Sus scrofa: one gene and its partners. The protein of the gene in region 1 interacts with the protein of each later gene in a biochemical or structural test. Links are inferred from orthologs where the notes say so. Each region holds a gene or a part of one and is shown in the gene's direction. Other genes may lie near its edges.

The links.
Region 2: the proteins of TOP1 (region 1) and NKX3-1 form a complex in vitro, tested with the Homo sapiens proteins (2 studies listed by BioGRID and IntAct). The link is inferred for Sus scrofa from reciprocal best matches to the Homo sapiens genes TOP1 and NKX3-1.
Region 3: of the proteins of TOP1 (region 1) and TOPORS, one has a biochemical effect on the other in vitro, tested with the Homo sapiens proteins (2 studies listed by BioGRID). The link is inferred for Sus scrofa from reciprocal best matches to the Homo sapiens genes TOP1 and TOPORS.
Region 4: the proteins of TOP1 (region 1) and UBE2I form a complex in vitro, tested with the Homo sapiens proteins (2 studies listed by BioGRID, with this or other methods). The link is inferred for Sus scrofa from reciprocal best matches to the Homo sapiens genes TOP1 and UBE2I.
Region 5: the proteins of TOP1 (region 1) and NCL form a complex in vitro, tested with the Homo sapiens proteins (2 studies listed by BioGRID and IntAct). The link is inferred for Sus scrofa from reciprocal best matches to the Homo sapiens genes TOP1 and NCL.
Region 6: the proteins of TOP1 (region 1) and SRSF1 form a complex in vitro, tested with the Homo sapiens proteins (2 studies listed by BioGRID, with this or other methods). The link is inferred for Sus scrofa from reciprocal best matches to the Homo sapiens genes TOP1 and SRSF1.

The regions. Positions count from the first base shown.
Region 1 is NC_010459.5:43,708,831-43,713,069, forward strand, and holds the start of TOP1 (DNA topoisomerase 1), read left to right. Parts: upstream 1-1,439; 5' UTR 1,440-1,749; coding exon 1,750-1,782; intron 1,783-2,105; coding exon 2,106-2,130; intron 2,131-4,239. UniProt on the Homo sapiens protein: Releases the supercoiling and torsional tension of DNA introduced during the DNA replication and transcription by transiently cleaving and rejoining one strand of the DNA duplex.
Region 2 is NC_010456.5:7,784,237-7,788,293, reverse strand, and holds the start of NKX3-1 (homeobox protein Nkx-3.1), read left to right. Parts: upstream 1-1,257; 5' UTR 1,258-1,337; coding exon 1,338-1,662; intron 1,663-2,891; coding exon 2,892-3,310; 3' UTR 3,311-4,057.
Region 3 is NC_010452.4:33,872,929-33,876,428, forward strand, and holds part of TOPORS (E3 ubiquitin-protein ligase Topors), read left to right. Parts: intron 1-1,621; coding exon 1,622-3,500. UniProt on the Homo sapiens protein: Functions as an E3 ubiquitin-protein ligase and as an E3 SUMO1-protein ligase. Probable tumor suppressor involved in cell growth, cell proliferation and apoptosis that regulates p53/TP53 stability through ubiquitin-dependent degradation.
Region 4 is NC_010445.4:40,562,442-40,565,941, reverse strand, and holds part of UBE2I (SUMO-conjugating enzyme UBC9), read left to right. Parts: intron 1-1,542; exon of another isoform or gene 1,543-1,682; intron 1,683-1,859; 5' UTR 1,860-1,868; coding exon 1,869-1,934; coding exon of another isoform or gene 1,935-2,102; coding exon 2,103-2,186; intron 2,187-2,873; coding exon 2,874-2,946; intron 2,947-3,500. UniProt on the Homo sapiens protein: Accepts the ubiquitin-like proteins SUMO1, SUMO2, SUMO3, SUMO4 and SUMO1P1/SUMO5 from the UBLE1A-UBLE1B E1 complex and catalyzes their covalent attachment to other proteins with the help of an E3 ligase such as RANBP2, CBX4 and ZNF451.
Region 5 is NC_010457.5:132,167,715-132,171,214, reverse strand, and holds part of NCL (nucleolin), read left to right. Parts: coding exon 1-282; intron 283-643; coding exon 644-871; intron 872-980; coding exon 981-1,067; intron 1,068-1,256; coding exon 1,257-1,398; intron 1,399-2,388; coding exon 2,389-2,513; intron 2,514-3,500. UniProt on the Homo sapiens protein: Nucleolin is the major nucleolar protein of growing eukaryotic cells. It is found associated with intranucleolar chromatin and pre-ribosomal particles. It induces chromatin decondensation by binding to histone H1.
Region 6 is NC_010454.4:34,279,319-34,283,618, reverse strand, and holds the start of SRSF1 (serine/arginine-rich splicing factor 1), read left to right. Parts: upstream 1-1,500; 5' UTR 1,501-1,590; coding exon 1,591-1,784; exon of another isoform or gene 1,785-2,211; intron 2,212-2,219; coding exon 2,220-2,404; intron 2,405-2,750; coding exon 2,751-2,923; intron 2,924-3,126; coding exon 3,127-3,321; 3' UTR 3,322-4,300. UniProt on the Homo sapiens protein: Plays a role in preventing exon skipping, ensuring the accuracy of splicing and regulating alternative splicing.

The DNA.
Region 1 (4,239 bases):
CCAGATGAGGAAATAGGGGTTCAGAGAAGTTAAACAACTTTCCTGAAGTCACACAGCTAATCAACAGAAGAGCAGAATTCAAAATTAGATTGGTTTATGGAGTTCTCTCTTGGTCCAGTGGGTTAAGAATCCTGGGTTGTCATTGCTGTGGCTCTGGTTACAATTGTAGCACGTTTCATCCCCAGACAGGGAACTTCCGCATGCATGAGTGTGACCAGGAAGAAAAAAAAAAAAAAAGAACTTTGAACTTTGTACTAAGATGAGAAGTACTGTTGGAGGGGATAATAGATCTGGTGTAGAGAAATTACTTTGGCTACTGTTGCAGAGCAACTTGTGAGAGGGCCAGAAGGGAAGCAGGGATCCCTGTTAGGAATGTATTATGTAGTATAATCCAAGCAAGAGATAATGCAGACTTCGACAGGTGTGTGGCCAAGGGAAAGATTGAAAACATGCAATCAGCTGGATGAATGAGAAAGAAAAGGAAGATGTCCAGGGTGGAGCTTTTCTAACTGGGTGGTGGAGGAAGATGGTGAGTTTAGGGAAGTTTGTGAGGTATCCAAAAGGAGATGTCAAGTAGGCAGTTAGTAGGTCACTTATCTCTGACACAATTAAACTTTAGTAAAATAGGCGACCTCAAAGAGCTATTGTGTCAAATCAGAGCAGAGTAGATGCTCCATAAGCGGCAGTTCTCTCTCCAATTCCTCTCCCCTAGGCCTCTTTGCGCGCTAAGGATACAGCAGGGCACAGAGCCAGGTCGTGTTCACCCCGCGATCTGGTTCTCTTTGGTCCCTATCCTATCCTTTTTCTTAACGCAATTCCTGGCTCAGGAAGGTCTGAAGAAAGAACTAATGAAATTAGGCCTCTTGAGACCCAGGGCCACACGTACCCGACTGAAAACGGGAGCTAAACCAGACTTTTGGTGGGCTGAAAAAAAATAAAATAAATTTTAAGAAAGCATGAAATAATCGAGGAATTGGAAAGCCTGGACAAAGGCTGGGGAAGGAGCTCCTCCCATCAAATAGCCTCGGAGTATGGTTAACGAGAGAGGAATAGCCGGTGAGAGCTCAGGGGCCCTGAACGCCAGGGTTTCTGAATCTCCGAGAAGAGGAAAAAGCGAGACAGAAGCACGGACCAGGCCTGGCGCGGTCCCGCCGCGGCCTTTAAAGGCCCACCACGTGGCCGAGTGGCCGGCCCCGGTCCGGAGGCGGTGTCCGGGCTGAGCCTGCGCACAGCCTAGGGGAGGGGCCTGGTTTCCGAGAAAAGGCGCTGGGAGAGGAAAAGAAGGCTGCTCAGGATGTGCGGCCGTGGGAGGAGTCAACTTCTCATGCAAATCACAGCGGCGCGCGAGGACTAAGGGGCGGGGCTTACGATGCAAAGCCAGGTCCTCCTTGGGAAGTGCGAGGGGGCGGGCCCCACAACCCTCGGCCTCCTTCCGCGAGTCTCTGACGTCAGCGACGTCTCATTTAAAAGCGGCCGCGCAGGCGCAGTGAGCCGAAATGCGAACTTAGGCTGTTACACAACTGCTGGGGTCTGCTCTCGCCTCCCGCCCGGCAGTCAGTCAGCGTCGCCGCCGCTGTCGCCGCCTCAGCCTTACCGGGAGTCTCAGGCCCGCCCCGCCGACGTTTACTCGCGCTTCCGGGAGCCTTCGGGAGCCTCCGGAAGCCCCTGTCCACCCGCACAGGCCGGTAGCGACCGTCTGCGTCTCCTCGGCGCCCCTCGCCGCCCGCCGCACTCGCCACTCCTGCCGACATGAGTGGGGACCATCTCCACACCGATTCCCAGGTACGGCCCTGCCCGACCCGCCTGGGTCCCCGGCGCCGCCCCGGCCCTCCAAGACCCCCGGCGCAGGCCCCGGCCTCGGCCTGGCCGCTTTGACAGGCCGGAACCCCTGGGTAGGGGCGGCCGGCCGGAGGCGATGGGCTCCCCGGGCGGAAGCCGCCAACTTCCAATTTTGGGGGGCTGGCGGGCCCTGGCGGCCGTTCCCGGGGCCCCTCCATCCCGGGGGGCGCAGGGTGGGACCGGCCCACGGCCGCGCGCGCTCGCCCGCCGGCCGCCGCGGGGTGAATGTGCCTGTTGTTTCACGGTCCCTCCTTTTCTCTCCCCAGATCGAGGCGGATTTCCGACTGAATGGTGAGTGTGCCCCCTCCCCGACCCCGGGTCCCCGGCCGCCCGGCCCGAGCCGGGCAGAGGACAGACATGGCGTCCCAGAGACTAAGTCCCGGCTTCTCGCTCACCGGCCCCATTGTTCCCATCGGGCCGCCTCTGGACCCCCTTTCCGGGGACCCCACTGCCCCCATATCGCGGCCCTCCCAAGAGGGGGCAACGGAGACCCCGCGTCGCCCGTCACCGGGCGTCGGGCAGCCTTTCCGGGCCCGGATTCCTCCCGGGAAAGTCGCCCTGTCGACAGTCGGGACTTAGTCTCTGCGCCATTTTCTTTTTCTCTCTCCTCTCCTTTCTGTGCTTGTGTCTCTTTCTCTCCCTCCCTCGGCTCCTTCCCTGAGCTGCCCAGAAAGAGCTTTCTGCAGAGCAAAGCCATATAAATCACAGACCTCAGCAGAGGGAAGGGTGGGAGCCTGAATTGTTACTATTTTTTTCCAAAGAGAACTTTATTTGAGGGGTTATTCCCCTACTGCTTCTTGTTTGTTTCCTTTTCTGCTTCCAGAATGAAAGATACCCTTGAGCAACTGTTGATCCCCCCACCCCTTCGGTGAGATGTTTGATGGTTAGAATTAGGGCTCTAAAACTAAAGCCCTCCTTTGTGGAGTTCTTCACCTTTTGAGATTGCTTTCCCCAAGTTGTGTTCTTTGCCAGGGTAGTGGTATCTACTTTCAGAAAGTTTACAAGTTGTCTGTGGGCCATCCAATGTTGGACTTGGGCATATAGATTTTTTTTTTTTTTAAGTAAAGTAACACCGACTAGAACTTTTCATTGGGGCTGAGATTCCCAAAGCAGTGTTTTTCTAACGCAGTTTCATGTGGTTGTCAGGAGGAAAGGTTGTTCAGCATCTCATCTGGCCTGGAGTACTGGCCTTTTCTTGTGGGCTGTGGGTCAGAAAAAAAAGATTTTATTTATTGAAACAAAGAGTGGCCAGCACCCATTCTTCCTGCTCATTCTTCTTCAGAAGCCACTGTTTTTCAGGAATTGAGAGCTAGCTGACTTTTGCCAGATGTTCATATTTTTGAACCCTTTTCAGCCAAATCAAGGCACTTACTCTGAGTATTTCCAGTTCAGTTGCTCAGTGAAGATTCCCCAGGAAAAGCTTCCCCTGTGAGCTTTTCAGCAATCCTTTTGGAGGAGAAGGCACCCTCTGTAGTGTGCTGGGAATTCCCACCCATTCTGATGGTATACATAATTCTGCTCAGTTGAGTTTGGGTTCCGGGAATCTCTCCAATGGGAGAAGCTGATGAGTAGGTTTTCTGATGTTGTAATCAGCAGTCCATCGTGTTAGCCTGCTCTACTGAGAGCAGAGCAGCCTTATGTTCAGATTTTGGAGTAGGGCATCCAGCAGGAGATAGTACTAGGGGAGAGGAGAGAATCTGGTTAAAATGTAACAGTTTTTGAGCACCTGAGAGATGTGCCCAGCACTGTGCTAAGTACTAAAGTTGAATCTTTGGCCCGGACACTGCTGTTCTTGCCTTCAATCCAGTCTATCTGGGGAGACATAATTAGTTAATTATAAGGTAGGTGCTGGGGCATATGTATACCCGAAATGCTTTGGGTGACTAGGGCATTCAGTCTGGGGGTGGGGAAATTTCTCAGAGGAGGTAGCTGGGTGTTGTGCAAGACTAGGTGCTGAGTGTCAGGGGTTAGAGTATTTCCTAACTGTTCAGTCAGCCTATCAGGGTTTTAAAAGAGGGAGATGAGGCCCTTGCAGTTCAGAAAGCCAGAGTGTAGATATGTTTCTTTGGGATGTGGAAGCAAAGAAAGGATGTGTCAGATGAGGATGTCCTTTTGACCTCTCTTGGAAGAAGGTAGGATCTTAATACAGAATAAATAAATGTTCTTTTGACTTTGAGACTAGGCTGAGTAGGTAATGTATCTAGTAATGAAACAAAGTGTTGTCCTTTCTCAGAAAGTTAACCTCCGTGGTTCTCACATAGATTATACAGAGGAACTATTGTATATGTGAATGATGGTAGGCTAGGTAAATTATTGATCTTTAGTGCCATTTTTTGGTAGAGACTGGAGTAAATTGGTTATATTGACTTTTAGAATTTTTCACTTGTAATAGCAATAATT
Region 2 (4,057 bases), on another chromosome or scaffold:
ATTCATGTGATAAAATTGCATAGGGCTACACACACATACACCTGAATGCAAGCTTTTAAATGGTGAAAATAAAATAAGGTCTGTAGCCTAGTTAATGGTGCATATTAATGCCAATTTCCAGGGTTTTACATTATACCAAAGTTATATATAATATGTCATCACTGGGGGAAGCTAAGGGTATGGATTTTGCAGCTTCCTGGGAATTTATAACTATTTCAAAAGAAAAAGTTAGAATTTTTTACAAAAAAAAAATGAGAGAAGAAAACCATTTTTGGTGAAAAATTTCCCATTGCACAGGGTGGTTCTCTTTAGCTGTTGCTTTATCCACAGTAACTTTACTCCCACCCCAAACGCACAACATACCAACTTTTTGAAAGGTTTCCAATCAAATGAAAGGTGTCTTAGACTAGGATGTACAGAGAAATAAAAATAGTTCAAAAGAACACTGGTATACTCTTTTTTAAATTCACCAATTAATATTTTAACCCCTTCACTTCATCATATAGGATCTATCTGCCCATCTATATCTTTGTTTCTGAACCAACTGAGGGCAAGTTACACAAATTGTGGGACTTTGCCCTTACATACTTTAGCGTTTATTTCCTAAGAATATTCTTTTACGCAGTCACAGTGTTGTTAGCAACTTCAATAATGTTAGCACTGATTCAATACTTTGTCATCGTCCTATTCCACTTTCATCAATTGCCCCAATAAAGTCCAGTATAGAAGGCAACCTGGGGCCAGATGCTGCACTTAGCTGTCATGTCTTTTCAAAAGCCTTAGATTTAGTAGGTTCAGCTTTGCTATCAATGTCTCCCTGTCACTGGGCACCCAGAATTCTTATCTGTGAAGTGGGATGGTGTTAACTGCCTCAACTATTTCTTTTCGTGAGTAAAGGGACTTTAACAGTCCTCTAAGAGCTAAATGGAGTGTTTCTCTGCTGCATCATGATTCTCCAGAAACAGCGAAACTTATTTTGTGGGTTGGGGCAAGAGGAGACTCGCTTTGGTTTTCTCTTCCAGCCTGAGAAAACGACGTAGCGGGGAGGGAGGCGAGATCGGATTCAGGAGAAGAACGAAAGTGGAAAGGAATCTCTCTGGAAGACCAGGCCGAGACAGTGCTAGACTCCCCTTTTCCCCTCACCTGGAGGGCCCAGCGACCAATCAGCGGCGGGGTTCGGGAGTACGGCCAATGGGAAGGCGGCGCGGCGCCCCCCCCCCCCCCCGGGTTATAAGTGCACCCGGGCCGCGGAAAGTGAAAGTGGTGCGGCCGCAGCCGGCGCAGCCTGGGCGCAGATGCCCGGGCCTCTGCTCAGGCGCGGGTGCTGAGCCGCCAGGATGCTCCGGGCTCCCGAGCTACGGCCGGGGGAGGGGGGGACGGCAGGCTGCAGCCCCCGCGCCGCACCACCCATCCAGTCCAAGCCGCTTACCTCCTTCCTCATCCAGGACATCCTACGGGACCGCACGGAGCAGTGCGGAGGCCAAGCGGGCAGCCCGCAGCCGCAGCCACCGCCGCAGCCCCGGCGCCAGCCAGACCAGAGGCGAGACCCTGAGCCGGAGCCCAAGGGAGGAAGAGGCAGCGCCGGGGCGCCTGAGGACCATAGGAGCGCCCGGCCCCGCGCCGCGCGGAGGGAGGCCGAGCCGCCGGCAGAGACCGAGCCAGGTAAGCTAGCGAGGTTGGGGAGGCCGGTCTGGGCCGGGGTGGGTCCCACAGGAAGGGCAGCCGGCCCGCGGGCTACACCGCATGAGAGCGTGTGCTAGGCGGACCTCCTGGATCTCTGCTGCAGAGATGCGGGAGCCGGTGGCGACAGGCAAAGAGACCTCACCGCCTCCGCTGCGGGCGCGCCTGGGAAATTAATCCTGAACCCCAGCGTCTGGGCGGCGCAGGATTTAGACATGGGCTTGACTCGCCGGGCAAGGTGCTCCCTGCGCCGCTAGGAGACCCAGGCTCAAGGGTGAGCGCACAACACAGCGCCCACCGTGCCCCAGGGTCCCAGGTGGAAAACCCCCACACCGCTCCCAGCCACCGCGGGACCCACAATCGACGCTAGCCTCATGTTACCTCTTGGCAGTTACAATAACAAGTTACTGACAGTAACTTATTAATATTAATAAACTAGGATTTGACCTGCAAAGACTCCCTTTGCTTCCCAGTCCCATGGGCAATAAAACAGTAAATTTAGGAGCCCCTCTGGTCTTGAGGACATGTAACACCGTCGGAACATTTGCAGTAGACTTTCTTTTCTTTCTTTCTTTCTTTTTTTTTTTTTTTTTTGGGTAGTTAAAATTGGTACATAACATTATATTAGTTTCAGGTGCGCAACATAATATTTGATATTTATATACACTACAAAGTGATCACCACAATAAGTCTATGTATCATTACCATTCAATTGACTGCCTTCTTACAAGGCATCCTAATGGCTCATTTAAGAAGTGGGGGGGGGGGTTTAGAGCAAGTGAATGAACTCTCTACCACGGAAGCCCTCTCTTGCCACCAGGGCATTAACACCAGATGCCTCTGGGGCCTGCTTTTCCAGGTATCTTATTTCTCAGAGCCTGCCCTGCCTCCCTTCTCCCTCCTCTCCTCAACACATGGATCCAGAATCCCTATTTAATTCTACTGGACAATGTGGCAGGAAGTTCTACCACTAACCTCTCCTACCTTGGGGTCTTGATGACTCCTGGAAAATGAATACATGGTCTAAGTTGACACTCATGCCCCACTCATAGAGTTCCTGAGTCCTGTGAAAAAAGTGCAATGTATCCAAACTGACAGTGGGCTGTTTGTTCACTCACCAGAAGAGATAAGGGTGGATTGAATTCTATTCTCTTCCCTGCTAACATGTAACGTTTTCCTTCCCATCCCTGCCTCTCCGCTCTCCTTTCCAGATAGGCACCTTGAGACTTATCTGCTGGACTGTGAAAACACTCCAGGCGCCTTGCCGAGCCTGCCCCCAACCCCCAAGCAGCCGCAGAAGCGCTCCCGGGCCGCCTTCTCCCACACTCAGGTCATAGAGTTAGAGAGGAAGTTCAGCCACCAGAAGTATCTGTCGGCCCCCGAAAGGGCTCATCTGGCCAAGAACCTCAAGCTCACGGAGACCCAAGTGAAAATATGGTTCCAAAATAGACGCTATAAAACCAAGCGGAAGCAGCTCACCTCGGACCTGGGGGACCTGGAGAAGCACCCCTCCTTGCCGGCTCTGAAGGAGGAAGGCTTCTCTCGGGCCTCCCTCATCGCCATGCATCACACCTACCCTTACTACCCCTACCTTTACTGCTTGGGAGGCTGGAGCCCAGCTTTCTGGTAACAACGCCGGCTCAGACAACCATGTGTGATCAAAAGCTGCCTTCCCCTGGTGGTCCCTCTGGAAGGCAGAAGGGCCCGGGGTCAGGGAGGACTGGGCCGCAAGAGACCTGCAGACTGAAAGCACTGGAGGTTTGCTTGGAAATCCCAGATTCTTCACTGGTGTGCCAATGAAAGACCTGGGACAGGAAATAACTTAAGAGCCAAATAGGTCCCCCCCCCCACGGGAATGTAGGTCATTTTTGCTTTGAGAGACCCGCTTGAAGTGGGGCGGGATACAGTCAAGTGCTGTTTCCAGCATCACTTGTGGAGGCTGCCCACATCACCTGTGAGAATTCTCCGCCTCCAGCTCCATCCTCTTTTGTGACTGAGCATCCGCTCCTCCTGAAGGGGGTGTGGGGGAGGGGAGGAGAGCTAAGATGAGATGTCACCTCCAGAATTAAACTGAAGGTCAGACGCCTCTCATTGGCCTTGGAGTATGACCACGGGTTGCTCTCCATCCCTGGGGGAGAGCAGGAAGCACAGGGTCCCACAGAGAAGCCTGTGGTGCTCAGGGCAGGTTGGCACAGGATACAGAGATGGGTAGGAGGAGATGAAAATATAAGCTTCTTATTCTTCCTTTTAAAATAATAGGCCAACTGAAGTATTTACAGGGTGGCCCAAGCAGAACAAGAAGAACTCACTGTGGTTTTAAGACAAGCTGTCTAAACAGAAACTTTCCCTCAAGAGGTGGGCTGGGGCCGGAAGAATC
Region 3 (3,500 bases), on another chromosome or scaffold:
GCGTAGGCCGGTGGCTACAGCTCCGATTCAACCCCTAGCCTGGGAACCTCCATATGCTGCGGGAGCGGCCCAAGAAATAGCAACAACAACAACAAAAGACAAAAAGACAAAAAAAAAAAAAAAAAGAAAGAAAGAAAGAAAGCTAAGGTGCCCTAGATGAGCAAGTTTAGTTTGAAATCTATGATGAAATATTTATATTTTACAATCATAGGTTTTTGTTGTGGGTTTTATTTCTTTTAATTTTCTTGGCTGGATATGGCCAATGAGTCTCTTGTTTAGAAAATTCGAATTTTATTTGACTAGACAGCACAGTGACTGGTAATAGGACTTCCTATAATAAAGGAGGTGGAGAAAGATGGATAATAGGCCCAAGAAAACATACAGGAAGAAATTAATATTTGCCATATGTAAATGATTAGTATAGAAAACAGGTGAAGAGAGATTTTATAGGATAACAAGGCCAAAATGAATGCAATTAGATTTCAGCTCTGGCAAAATCATTTTGTAAGTTGTGGACCAATATAAACTGATAAATTTAAAGAAAACAAAACTAGTCTTTAAGATTCTAGTGATCCTTGTGGGGAAAGATAAGGGGACTGAAAGCATGATTTCAGGATACTTTGTAGTTGACTGGATCAAATAAAAAGTTGAAAAAAAGCTTCGTAGGGATGCCGAAAGGAGTCAGTGATGAACTGAATATCATAGTGGAGTAACAATAGTGTAGTATAATACTAGTGTAGTAATAATAGCAGCAACTAACATTTACTCAGCAGTTGCTACAACCAGACACTGCTCTTGAGTGCTTTTTACATTTACTTACTTCATTTAATCTTCACTAAAAGATCCTTTTCTGTGTGTGAAAGATCCACCAAAAGTAGAGAACTTGTTTAAATATAGGTGAATTTTCTGGTGTGCAGATTTTCTCACTAAAGCTATTTTTAAAGGGACATATGTAATACCTACCACAAATAAAATCAGTAGTCCATATTTTTTGAGACATATGTATGAAAGATATAAGACCTTACACAGAAATAACTCCAACTGAGAACTCTGATATTTTGGGGGTTTGTTTTCTAGAGGATTGGGGGAGGAGGACATAACATTTTTAAAAATCTGGGATAATCATGAGAAAATGTTAGTTGTTAAATCTGAGTGGTGGATACATGGGTACTTGGTATATTTTCTTTTGTAATTTTTTGTACAGTTCAAATATTTCTCAATTTTTTTTTAAAGAGTAAGAGAATATTACATAATATCTGAGAGCTTACTAAGTACCAGGCACCTTTTCTAAGGGTTTGGGGTTTTTTTAAAGCATCTTCACAAATCCTGTGAAGCAGATTGTATTATCAGTGATCTACAGGTGAAATTGAAGCGTGAGGATAGTAACTAGTTCTTAGTCACATTGCTGGTGTGGAATCAGGATTTAAACTTAGGAAATCTGACTTTTAGATCTTGTGCTTTAAGTACTATGTTACTATGCTACACTGCCCTTTTATGTTACAAAGATAGTGAACTACTCAGCTATTTTCACCAAAGTGTGTTTCAGTCATTTGCATTTTTTTTTCAGATTTAGTCATTCCTCTTTTATCAGGTTACTGATATTTTTTTTTCCCTTTTACAGATAATGGCATCAGCCGCTAAGGAATTTAAAATGGACAACTTTTCACCTAAAGCAGGCACTAGCAAATTGCAGCAAACAGTTCCAGCTGATGCATCTCCTGATTCTAAGTGTCCTATATGCTTGGATAGATTTGATAATGTGTCTTACTTAGATCGCTGTTTACATAAGTTCTGTTTTCGATGTGTACAGGAGTGGTCAAAAAACAAAGCTGAATGTCCACTGTGTAAACAGCCCTTTGATTCTATTTTCCATTCTGTGAGGGCAGAAGATGACTTCAAGGAGTATGTCCTAAGGCCTTCACACAATGGTTCCTTTGCTACTCCTGATGTTCGGAGATTCCGCTACCGTACAACTATGACAAGGGAACGAAGTGCTTCTGTTTATTCACCTAGTCGTCCCTTGAATAGAAGAACAACAACTCCACCAGATAGTGGAGTACTATTTGAAGGGTTAGGCCTTTCAGCAAGACCCAGAGATGGTGAAATTTCTCCATTCATGAGACAGATTGCAGTGAGGAGGCCAACAACTGCAGACGAAAGATCTTTGCGGAAAATTCAAGAACAGGATATTATTAATTTTAGGCGAACTCTTTATCGTGCTGGTGCTCGAGTTAGAAATATTGAAGATGGTGGTCGCTACAGGGATATTTCAGCTGAATTTTTCCGTAGAAATCCAGCTTGCCTTCACAGATTAGTCCCCTGGTTAAAACGTGAACTCACGGTTCTCTTTGGAGCTCATGGATCTTTGGTGAATATCGTCCAGCACATCATCATGAGCAATGTTACTCGTTATGACTTGGAGAGTCAGGCATTTGTGTCTGATTTAAGGCCATTTTTACTTAATCGGACTGAGCATTTTATACATGAATTTATCAGTTTTGCTCGATCTCCTTTTAATATGGCAGCTTTTGACCAGCATGCAAATTATGATTGCCCTGCTCCTTCATATGAAGAAGGTAGCCATTCTGATTCTTCAGTCATAACAATATCTCCAGATGAAGCTGAGACCCAAGAGCTAGATATTAATGTAGCCACTGTTAGTCAAGCACCATGGGATGATGAAACTCCAGGGCCATCATATTCAAGCTCAGAGCAGGTGCAGGCTTCCATGTCTTCCCTTTTAAATACTTCTGATAGCTCGGATGAAGAACTTGTAACAGGAAGAGCCACATCTCAGATACAAGGAGTACAAACCAATGAAGACCTAAATAATGACAGTGATTCTTCTTCAGATAATTGTGTTATTGTTGGGTTTGTTAAGCCACTAGCTGAGAGGACCCCAGAACTTGTTGAACTGTCCTCTGATTCTGAGGAATTAGGCTCTTATGAGAAAATGGAGACAGTGAAGACACAAGAACAAGAACAGTCTTACAGTTCTGGTGATAGTGATGTTAGCAGATGTTCATCTCCAAGGTCTGTCCTTGGAAAGGATGAACAAATAAATAAAGGTCATTGTGATTCTGGTACAAGAATCAAATCAAAGAAGGAAGAGAAACACTCTACATCATTGTCCTCTCCCAGAGACCTGAGCTCATCCATCAGAGGAGACAGAGTATATTCCCCATATACCCACAGACACAGAAGGAGGGGAAGATCGAGAAGTTCAGATTCACGCTCCCAGAGTAGGAGTGGGCATGATCAGAAGAATCGTAGAAAGCATCATGGGAAGAAAAGAATGAAAAGCAAACGATCCAGAAGCAGGGAGAGTAGCAGACCTAGAGGTAGAAGAGACAAAAAGAGGTCAAGAACTAGAGATAGCAGTTGGTCTAGAAGAAGCCAGACTCTGTCTCTAAGTAGTGAAAGCACAAGCAGATCAAGATCTCGTAGCAGTGATCATGGTAAAAGAAGATCACGGAGCAGAAATAGAGATCGTTACTATT
Region 4 (3,500 bases), on another chromosome or scaffold:
AAAAAAAAAAAAAGCTGTTCTGTTTTGGGTGCAGGACTGGTGTTACTTGTCTGGGACTTAATCTTGAAGCCTGGCGGGGTGAGAGCCTGTGGAAGGTGTGCTCAGAGTGCTGGGGTGGAGCTGCACCTGTTCCCATGCCTCCTGAGTGGCAGGGGCTTCAAGTTTTGACCGTCTCTGTTCCTCATGGTGGCACGAGCACACCTGCTTGTGGACAGTGCACCACATGCAGTTGGTCCGGTGGTCTGCACTAACTCACCCTGCTTCCGAGACCCGGGCTCCTGTGTCGTGCTGGAGGCTGCCACGGTGATCCCCAAAGGACACCCAGAGTTCCCGGCTCCATGGGGCCCCTGGGCCTGGGGCCCGTCCGTGTCATAAACACCCACTGAGGCTGCCATCCCGGCCTCGCCGACCTGCTGGTCTGCGGTTGAATGGTTGCCGCAGCCCCACCCTCCTGCACAGACAGGGGTGTGTTTGTGTTGGGGGCCTGGCGACAGAGCAGCCAAGGAGCAGATGTGGGGTCAAGGTGTGATTTGTGCTGCTGGAGCAGCTGGGGCCAAAAGGGGTGTGGGGTTGGGCGCGCCAAGTGATTAGGGGGCCGGGGCTGCTGTGAGCAGCAGGCGGCGGGCGGACCCCCTGTGTTTGAGGTGTGCCCCCCCTCGGCGGCGGGGTACTTTCTGGATCCTCCCTTCTCAGGCTTGGTAGTCGGCAGTGCTGTGCTGAGGCTGGGGTCCTGGGTCTGGGACAGGGCTGGCAGGGCTGGTTTCCGGTGCCGTCTGTAGCAGGAGTTTGGCCTTGACTGGTTGAGTGCCACGTTGTGGCCGCATCCGCTGCCCATGTGCTTCCAGGATGCCCCCCCCAGGTCCCCCGCCGACTTGTCAAAGCCTTGCGTAGCGGAAGCACTTGACCTGAGGATCCTTAACATTGTCAAAGACACTGAGGAGCACTGGACACAATGAGGGTCAAGTTCTCCAGCAAGTTCTGTGTCCCCTAAGGGCTGCGTCCTCAGGGACAGCAGGGGTTACAGTCGAGCGCCCTGTGCCTGGCCTGCGTGATGCGGAAGCGGCGGGCACCAAGCCTGGAGGGTCTGTGGTCCGGAGGTGCAGGGGGAGCCCCACACGAGGAATGAGCAGGCTTTCCAGCAGCCCCCCTCCAGTGGGCCTGCTCCCCTTTTTGTCGTCTTTCCTAAAGCAAATGGGAGGCAGTCTTGGTTTGCTCTTGGCAGCGGAAGTGGCAGTGATCCTGGGGTGGGGCCAGTGAAGACGCTCAGGCCTGGCGACAGTCGCAGCGGGGTGCTGGCCTTGCCCTCCTTAAGCTGCCCTCTGTCCGGGGAGCTTTCCTCTGCTTCCCTTCCTCCCGGCGGGGCCTGAGCCTAGATTCCGAGCCCCCGATTCTGTGCTGGTGGCCTGACAGCACCCCAGCTGCAGCAAAGGATGCGGCCCCGCCCCTGGCTTCCCAGGGCTCAGGGGCTCGACACCTCCTGTCTTGTCCTTGCCCCTCGTGTGGGGTCTGGTGGTGAAAGTGGGGTCCCTTTCATTCCGGCAGGCGGCACAGCCGGAGAGGCAGGACTGTCGTGCAGGTGGCTGCTGGGAGCACACGGTGTCCCCTCCCTGTGCGGCCTCTAGCAGCCGTGACCTGGGCCCGGGGTCTTGTCTCTGCCCCTCCGGGGGTGGGAGGTTGACCCGGTAGGTACCTGCACAGGCCGGGACCCAGGGGCGCGAGCGTCTAGCCGGCGGGCAGGGCAGCGTGCGGGGCGGCGGCGCGTGGGGCCGGGTGGGGCCCTTTGGGGGCCTGCTCCTTGGACGTGAGCCTGCTAGGCCGGGCCGCCCTGGCTCACCGCTCACCCCGCACGTCTCTTGCAGGGACTGGAGATGTCGGGGATCGCCCTCAGCAGACTCGCCCAGGAGAGGAAGGCCTGGAGGAAAGACCACCCCTTTGTAAGGAAAGCTTTGCTTCGGCGGGGGGCGGGGGGCGCGGGCCGGTTCCCCGGAGACCCTCGTGCCCACGGGCCGGCCCTTTGGCCCCTGCAGCGCAGCCAGAGGGCTTGTTCTGGGAGTGGGGGGGCCACTGCCGCGGCGCTGACGGGCCTGTGTGGTTTCTCGCAGGGGTTCGTGGCTGTCCCCACAAAAAACCCCGACGGCACAATGAACCTCATGAACTGGGAGTGCGCCATTCCCGGGAAGAAGGGGGTAAGAGGGGGCCCCCGAGAGGGCTCGGGTTCAGGTGTACGGGACGCTGGGGACGGTCACGTGAGCCCTGGTCCTGTCCCTGGTGGGGGGGGGGCACCTCAAAGACAGGATGACAGGTGGTCCCTGGGCATGTCCTGAATCAGGTAGGACCTGGGCTGTGGCAGATGGGGAGGGAGGCGCCGCGCGGCCGGGGGCCAGGGAGGTGCCCAGGCTGAGGCAGCCTGGCCGGGGTGACGCTCCCTGGGACGCCTGCCTGCCCCTGGGTGTGGAGGCCGGGCGTCGGCCACCGAGCTGGCTGTGTGGGGCCCAGCGTGCCCTTCATGCCTGGCCACGGGGCTGCCCCTCGGCCCATCTGAGTGTGCCCGGGTCTCTTCGGACCGGCACATGGCAAGCATTTGGGAGGAAGAGTGCGGTGACCCAGGAGGAAGGAGGCGCCCCCTTCTGTGCTGGGTGATGAGAGGCTCCGTGGCCTCCATCCGTGGCCTCGACGCGCAGGAGGGGGACCCGGGGGCCTGAGGGAAGGCCCTTGGCACCTCTTCCTGGGGCCCACGGAGGCCCTGACGGTGCGCGGGGTGGGTCGGCGGGGTTCTCTCGGTCCGGGGCACGGCGGGAGCAAGCGCAGCCCCTGCTGGGCCAGACCGGCCGCGGAGACCCCTGCTCACCTAACAGAGTGTTGCCTCCCCGCAGACGCCGTGGGAGGGAGGCTTGTTTAAACTGCGGATGCTGTTCAAAGACGACTACCCGTCCTCACCGCCGAAATGTGAGTAGAGCCGAGTCCTCCCAGATCCCTCAGCGTCGGCCGCATTCCTCTGGGACCGAGGTCCTCAGAGAGCTTGGGCCTGTGGGGCCTCAGGTATGTGCCCTGCTCCCCGCAGCTCCATGGGCGCCCGGGGAACTCAGAACAGGCCCAGCTCCCACCCCGGGGGCCTCCTGGGCCCTTCCCGCCGGCGGATGAGCTCCCGCCCTGGGCCGGCGTGCGCGCTGAAGGACCGCGGACCAGAGCCGCCCCCCAAGGGGACTTCCTCGCTGGTTGGGGTTTCAGGCCCAAGCTGCCTGTGCAGACGGCAGAGCGGGCGGCGGGAAGAGAGGCCGAGGCTGCGCCTGCGGTTCTGCTGTGGTGGACGCAGTAACCCGTTTACTTAGCGAAACTCGGGAGGGTTCTGTCGCTGGAGATCCGCACTGGCTGGTGAATGGAGTGCCCTGGTACCTGCCCTGGCGTGTGGAGGGTGCCTGGCAGGCTGTGAGAGCCTTGACTCGGCTGGCTGGAGAGAAGTGTGCTGTCTTTTAACGGCACAAGCAGACTTTCTGAGACTC
Region 5 (3,500 bases), on another chromosome or scaffold:
CAGCCAAAGCATTGGTGGCAACCTCTGGTAAGAAGGGAGCAGCCGCTCCAGCTAAGGGGGCAAAGAATGGCAAGAATGCCAAGAAAGAAGACAGTGATGAGGAAGACGAAGACGACAGCGAAGAGGATGAGGAGGACGAAGAGGAGGACGAGGACGACTTTGAGCCAGCAGTGGTGAAAGGAGCTGCTGCTGCTGCTGCTCCGGCCTCCGATGATGAGGAGGAGGAGGAGGATGAAGATGAGGATGAGGACGAGGACGAGGATGACGAGGAGGAGGAAGATGGTAAGGCATTGTGTAGTAGTTGTTGGGTTCTTGTTTGCAAGATATATTAGGGTTGAGGTTCAGGCAGTGATGCTCGACTCCCGACAACGTGGGCCTTTGACGGGACGCATGGCAAGGTTTCTTTTGGCTGGTTGGGGTGCACTGGCGGGGTACCCATGCGTGGTTGCCTGCTCCTGAGTAAAACACTTCAGCTTACCTTGTATTTTCCATGATGAAGGAGTTTATCTCCAAGTGCTGTTAATTCTTCTTGTGGCTGCTAAGCACAGTGACATGGGCAGGAGTACACTTTTTTTCCCCCTTACATTTTCCTGGAACTGGGGTAATTCTGAGTTCCCTTGAGACCCGTTGGTTTCTCTTTCAGACTCTGAAGAAGAAGCTATGGAGACGGTACCAGCCAAAGGGAAAAAAGCCCCGGCAAAAGCTGTTCCTGTGAAGGCCAAGAGCACTGCTGAGGATGAAGATGAAGAGGAGGACGAGGAGGACGAGGAGGATGAAGAGGATGATGATGAGGACGAGGATGAAGAGGAGGACGAGGAGGAGGAGGAGGATGAGGAAGATGAAGACGAGGACGAGGAGGAGGAGGAGGAAGGTAATCAAGTTAAGATTCTGAAGTACATTGACTTTTTTGTTTAAAGAAGGTACTTGAGCATGTGTGGCTGACTGTGGCTGACATACAGATTGTTTGAAATCTTGTCTAGAGCCTGTCAAAGAAGCACCTGGAAAACGAAAGAAGGAGATGGCCAAACAGAAAGCAGCTCCTGAAGCCAAGAAACAGAAGGTGGAAGGTAACTTGGAGAATTGGGGCTGGTGAATGACACCTGATCAATAGCACACGTGATGAACAACACAGGGACTTAATACTGAAACCTGATGTGACACTGCAATGTGCTGATGTGCCATGAAATTTTACGCTGGAAATGAAGTTTATGCCATACTTTAGAAAAGACTAAATTTGTGTTAATTTTTTTGTGCAGCCACAGAACCAACTACGTCTTTCAATCTCTTTGTTGGAAACCTGAACTTCAGCAAATCTGCTTCTGAATTAAAAACGGGTATCAGTGACGTTTTTGCTAAAAATGATCTTGCTGTTGTCGACGTCAGAATTGGTGTGTCTAGGTAGGTATGGAGCAGTTAATGCCACAGTACTTCTGCGCGTGGATCTGCTCATGTTTTCCTTCCTTTTGTAGAACCTTAGCTTAAATGTGTGTATGTAAGAGCGTTCAGAGATTAGCTATTAAGTCATTGAATTGTCAAATTGTAAAAACCCCAAATGGATTTTTTCGTTTTTGGTCTTTTTAGGGCCATACCTGCGACATGGAGGTTGCCAGGTTAGAGGTCTAATTAGCTACTGGCCTACGCCAGTGCCACAGCAATACCAGATCTGAGCCACATTTGCAACCTATGCTACAATGGTAACACCCGATCCTTGACCCACTGAGTGAGGCCAGGGATCAAACCCACAACCTCATGGTTCCTAGTCGGATTTGTTTCCACTGCACCACAATGGGAACTCCAGTCACCCATAACTCTTGATACAGCACATGTTTCGTTATAAGATTTGATGTTCTTAGAATATTTATTACACCTGAACAGCTATGTTATGTTAGTTAATGCTTTTAATTAGATAGGATATTTTTTTTTCCTTCCTTTTTTGGCTGTCCTGCGGCATACAGAGTTCCCAGGCCAGGGGTCAGGACCAAGCCACAGTTGGGACCTATGCCGCAGCTCTGGCAACACTGTGCCGGGCCAAGGATCAAACATGCATCCTGGCACTGCAGAGACGCCACTGGTCCCATTGTGGCACAGCAGGAACTCCAGGATTGGGTTGTCTTAGTGCTAAAGCAGGGTTCTTTTGTCATCACGTCAGCTGTTGTGTGCAGTGTAGCTAATGAGCATCTTGGAGGTAAGCTTGCATCGGTACTTAGATGCTCCCTGCAGCCCCAGTGGTTTAGGTGCTTTTCGACTTCCTCAGTCCCTGTTCGCATCATCACGTTAGTGTTCTGTTGCCCAGAACCCACGTAAGGTGGCTCTTGTTCAGTGCGGCTTGGTTTGTTTTTTCTTCCTCCACCTGTAACTTTTTTTTTTTTTGTCCTCTTCACCTTAAAGGAAGTTTGGCTATGTGGATTTTGAATCTGCTGAAGACCTGGAAAAAGCCTTGGAACTCACTGGTTTAAAAGTCTTTGGCAATGAAATTAAACTAGAAAAACCAAAGGGAAAAGACAGTAAGAAAGGTATGTAAAACTCTAGCTAATTATGATATGATAGGTAACTTGTTAATGTTTATTTATGATGTTTATCTATATTAGATTAAATATAGGCAAGTCGGCCAGGGTCAATTGTTTAACCTTCTTCTTTTTTGCTTCGTGATGTTACGAGGATTAAATGAATTGGAATGTTAAATGTTTACAGCAGTGCCTGGCACTACTTGTTAGACTTTTTAAAAGTGAGCAGTTCCTGGAGAAATGAACCCTACTGGTATCCATGAGGATATGGGTTGGATCCCTGGCCCTGCTTAGTGGGTTAAGGATCCAGTGGTGTCAGGAGCTTTGGCTAAGACACAGCTTGGATCCTGCATTGCTGTGGCTGTAGTGTAGGCCGACAGCTGTAGCTCCCATTCAGCCTCTAGCTGGGAACCTCTATATGCCGCAGCAAAAATCAATAAGTAAGTAAATGGATTAGATATACCTAAATTGTTTTTGTTTTGTTTTTGTCTTTTTGCCTTTTCTAGGGCCGCTCCAGAGGCATATGGAGGTTCCCAGGCTAGGGGTCGAATCAGAGCTACAGCTGCCGGCCTACGCCAGAGCCACACCAGACCTGAGCCATATCTGCAACCTACACCACAGCTCACAGCTATGCCAGATCCTTCACCCACTGAGCAAGGCCAGGGATCGAACCTGCAAGCTTTTAGTGGTTCCTAGTCAGATTCATTAACCACTGTGCCACGACGGGAACTCCTAGATGTACCTAAATTGTTAACCTAATAGTCCTCACTGGAAGTAGAGCAGATCCCTAACTACTCCATTTGTATTCTCTATACACACTGGTTACATTTCAAGTGTGTTTATGATATTTTTAATTCAAAAATACTGAGCCATAACTACTCTGTACATACCATCTTAGAGCTCTGTTCTAAGTATTCAGCACATAGTTTATTCTCAGTTATGACAGAGCACCTGTACATTGTAGGATCTCAAAAAGTATTTCTTGGCGTTCCTGTT
Region 6 (4,300 bases), on another chromosome or scaffold:
CCTTTTAGAACTGAAAACATGACCTTCTGAAAAATCTTTTTAAGGCACTTTGGATCTTGAATATACTGTTTCCTTCTTTACTGTGACTGCCATGATGACTAGGGTCAAATTTGTAATCCATCTTTAGAACTCACAAATTTTTACTGCAGCCATTTTGTGTATTAACTTTATCCATGACTTCATTTTAATTTCCCCTTATATTCTCCGTGATTTCTCCATTCAATTGCAATAACGTTTTCTGGTATCTCTGTAAACAGCATCACATCACTGGGGAGAGGGATTGATGCGAATAAATAAAAATGAAGAAAATCATCCTCTCAATCAGGGTGCAGACCTGTTTCAGCATATTTATGACAGGGTTTTTTTTTTAATTTGAATTCACCATTAATATTTTAAAATCCCAGTATTTCATATAAAAATCCAGATTTCAGATGGCTCCGTGGCAAAATGTAACAAGTTCTTATCTCCCTGGACCAACATGCTGGCGAGATGAGTCCTTAAGCCGCCACTTCGGTCTCCAGTGGTCACAGAAATCCTCACACATCCACTTTGCTCATTCATATTACCTGAGAGATTTGCTAATGAGTTCCAAAAAAGGAAGGAACGTCAGGATTCTGCAATACAAACAGGAGGGCGCGCGTCTTTTTCGTTCTTTGAAAGACGTTGTAGAAATAACAGACACAATTCATTCTGCAAACCTTCACTGGACCTCTCCGCTGCGCTGGGCCCTGGCGATAGGTGATTTAAAAAAGAAGCAGAGGTCTGGGTCCTGGTTGGCTGATGCCGCCAGGAATTACCGCCACGAGCACAAGGAGCGTTGAACTGAGGTCAGTTCTGAACCGAAGGTGGAACGGTACTTAGCGTAGAATATTTATTAAAGCGTCTCAGCCAGGTTCCCCTGCATTAGACAGTCGTCCAAGCAGTCCACGGCCCGTTCGCAGATGGGGCGGGAAGACAAAGTCACGTCTCGGCTCCGCGTTGATTCACCCGCAACGCGACTCCTGAACGAGGTGCACTCTCCAAGGATGCCCGTGTTTCCGGAGCAACCGCCTGGTCCCTCCCCCTTTGACTCCGCCCCCGGCAGTCTTTCCCGCCAAAGGCCGTTAACAGCGCAGAGCATGGTGGGACCTAGCTTTAGGCTAGGTTTCACCAAATACTTTCAAGACGCCGTTTTTTTGAGAGAAACATTCCTGAGGAAACTGCTGATTCTTTAGGATTCGACAGAGATTAATAACCCCTTTTACGAGAGCTCTATATTTAATTTTGCCACAAGGCTGGTCACTCCCTTATTAAACCCCTCGACAAATCGGGAAGGCGGGAACTTTTTTCCCTTCGCGCGGAGGGTGACGTCGCGCTTGCGCGAGCGTCACTCTCGCAGCACCCGTTACGCTCTTGCGCGTGCGTAGTGAGATCGAATAGCTGCTTCCTCCCGCTTCTCTTCCTCCCTCCCCCCCATATCCGTGCGCCGAGCTGATAAAGGCGCCATTTTGGAGGGGCCGCGGGAGACGTGGTGTCGCTGCGGGCTCGCTCTCCCGCTCGCTAGGCTTGGTGGGAAGGCCTGTTCTCGAGTCCGCGCTTTTCGTCGCCGCCATGTCGGGAGGTGGTGTGATCCGTGGCCCGGCAGGGAACAACGATTGCCGCATCTACGTGGGTAACTTACCTCCAGACATCCGAACCAAGGACATTGAGGACGTGTTCTACAAATACGGTGCTATCCGCGACATCGACCTGAAGAATCGCCGCGGAGGACCGCCCTTCGCCTTCGTTGAGTTCGAGGACCCGCGGTGAGGCGGCCAGGGGCTTGCGGCCTTGAGGAAATAGGTTGGAGTAGTTGGGGAAGGCTCCGGGGCCTTCACTTGGGGAATGGGGCGGTGGGTTCTTGGGTTGGGGGCCAGACGATATCGCCCATGCAGGAGTCGAGTAAGGAGCCGAGTCGGCGTGGCTCCTCTGGTGGCCGGGCCCCACGGACGTCCCTAGAGCCGACTCGCAGGCTCGGAGCGGGAAACTGAGGCGCCGAGGGCTGCTGGAGTGGTCGGGAGCCTGGCGTGCTTCTGGGTGGGGGAGGGGCCGTTCCTATTATGCGGCGCATGTGGGCTCTTCCACCCCGGTGCGCATGTGCGGGGGCCCGCTCGCTCCCCGGCGGAGTGAGCCGCCCCTCCTGGCCCTTTTTTTTTTTTTTTCTTCTTTTCCTTACCCCTTGGCTTTCTCTGGTCACGCAGAGACGCAGAAGACGCGGTGTATGGTCGCGACGGCTATGATTACGATGGATACCGTCTGCGGGTGGAGTTTCCTCGAAGCGGCCGTGGTACCGGCCGAGGCGGCGGCGGGGGTGGTGGCGGCGGGGCTCCCCGAGGGCGCTATGGCCCCCCATCCAGGCGTTCTGAAAACAGAGTGGTTGTCTCTGGTGAGTTGGCGGGTCCGTGCGGATTGATGATAAGGGGACCGCACACCGTTTTGAAGTTTTTCTTGGTGTTTTCATGCCAGGTCTTCACTTAAACCGGAGTGCCTTGGGTGACTTTAGTTAACAAGGACTACTCTATTTGAGACTTAGCGAATTAGGTTGCAGTACCTAGAAGATAAGAAGAGCCTTAACTTTACAAATAATTTTGGACTCTTGATTCCGAACTCTTTTAACAGCTCGTTAAACGGGATGTTAAAGACCGTTGGTTTTAAGTCTTGTTTTAATGTAACCTTTATGTTTAATGTGAAACTTAGGATAATTGGTATTGAAAGAAAACGCACTTTTTCAGGACTGCCTCCAAGTGGAAGCTGGCAGGATTTGAAGGATCACATGCGTGAAGCAGGTGATGTATGTTATGCTGATGTTTACCGAGATGGCACTGGTGTCGTGGAGTTTGTACGGAAAGAAGATATGACCTATGCAGTTCGAAAACTGGATAACACTAAGTTTAGATCTCATGAGGTAGGTTATATTCTTTTCCTTGGCCAGAATTGGATACAGTGGTCTTAACAGTGGAATTTGAAGGTAAGATTCAGGCAAGGGTGTCCAAGTAAAAACCCAGTAAAGTGCCAGATTTCTGGTTTGAGTTACGTTGATTCATTCAGCATGCCTGAAGACAGGTGAAAGCTTAGATCTTTCAATCGAAAGTTCTGTCTATCCAATAGGGAGAAACTGCCTACATCCGGGTTAAAGTTGATGGGCCCAGAAGTCCAAGTTATGGAAGATCTCGATCTCGAAGCCGTAGTCGTAGCAGAAGCCGTAGCAGAAGCAACAGCAGGAGTCGCAGTTATTCCCCAAGGAGAAGCAGAGGATCACCACGCTATTCTCCCCGTCATAGCAGATCTCGCTCTCGTACATAAGATGATTGGTGACACTTTTTTGTAGAACCCATGTTGTATACAGTTTTCCTTTATTCAGTACAATCTTTTCATTTTTTAATTCAAAACTGTTTTTGTTCAGAGTGGGCTAAAGTGTTGAATTGCATTCTTGTGTAATATCCCCTTGCTCCTAACATCTACATTCCCCTCATGTCTGATAAATTGTATTTTAAGTGATGTCATAGACAGGATTGTTTAAATTTAGTTAACTCTCCATGCTCTTCAGACTGTGATACTGTGTAAATGTCTATTCTGCTCTGGTTTGTGTGAACTGGGATGTTGGGGGTGTTGGTGGTTATCTTACCTGGGGAAGTTCTTATGTTTATCTTGCTTTTCATGTGTCTTTCTGTAGACATATCTGAAGAGATGGATTAAGAATGCTTTGGATTAAGGATTGTGGAGCACATTTCAATCATTTTAGGATTGTCAAAAGGAGGATTGAGGAGGATCAGATCAATAATGGAGGCAATGGTATGACTCCAAGTGCTATTGTCACAGATGAAATTGGCAGTATTGACCTTATACTAAAAGGCAAGGGTTTAAAGTGATTATATACATCTATCTTAAAACACTTGAAAACATTTTATGCAGTTATATTTGGCTACAATTGCTTTACTCTTTAAAACTCTGGCAATTGTGGCAAAATTACATGGCCCATTTTGTAACAATTTGTTTTGCTCCCTTCCCTTTTTTGTTTTATTAGGGACTAATGTGGGAAGAACTGATTAATTTGTCACAGTGCTTAGTTACAACTGTTAATGTGTGACCTGCTGTTGGTGTACTTGTGGGTACAGGGTGTCTTTAATTCCAACCAGATAGAGTATAATATCAATACTGCTAAATCTGCATGTCCTCTGTGTGACTGATATAATAGCGTTGCTACTTCATTTTTTTAAGACAAAATGAAAGCAAAATAATAGAATTCCAATTTATTGGTGTAGATAATCTAGTTGGGAATACT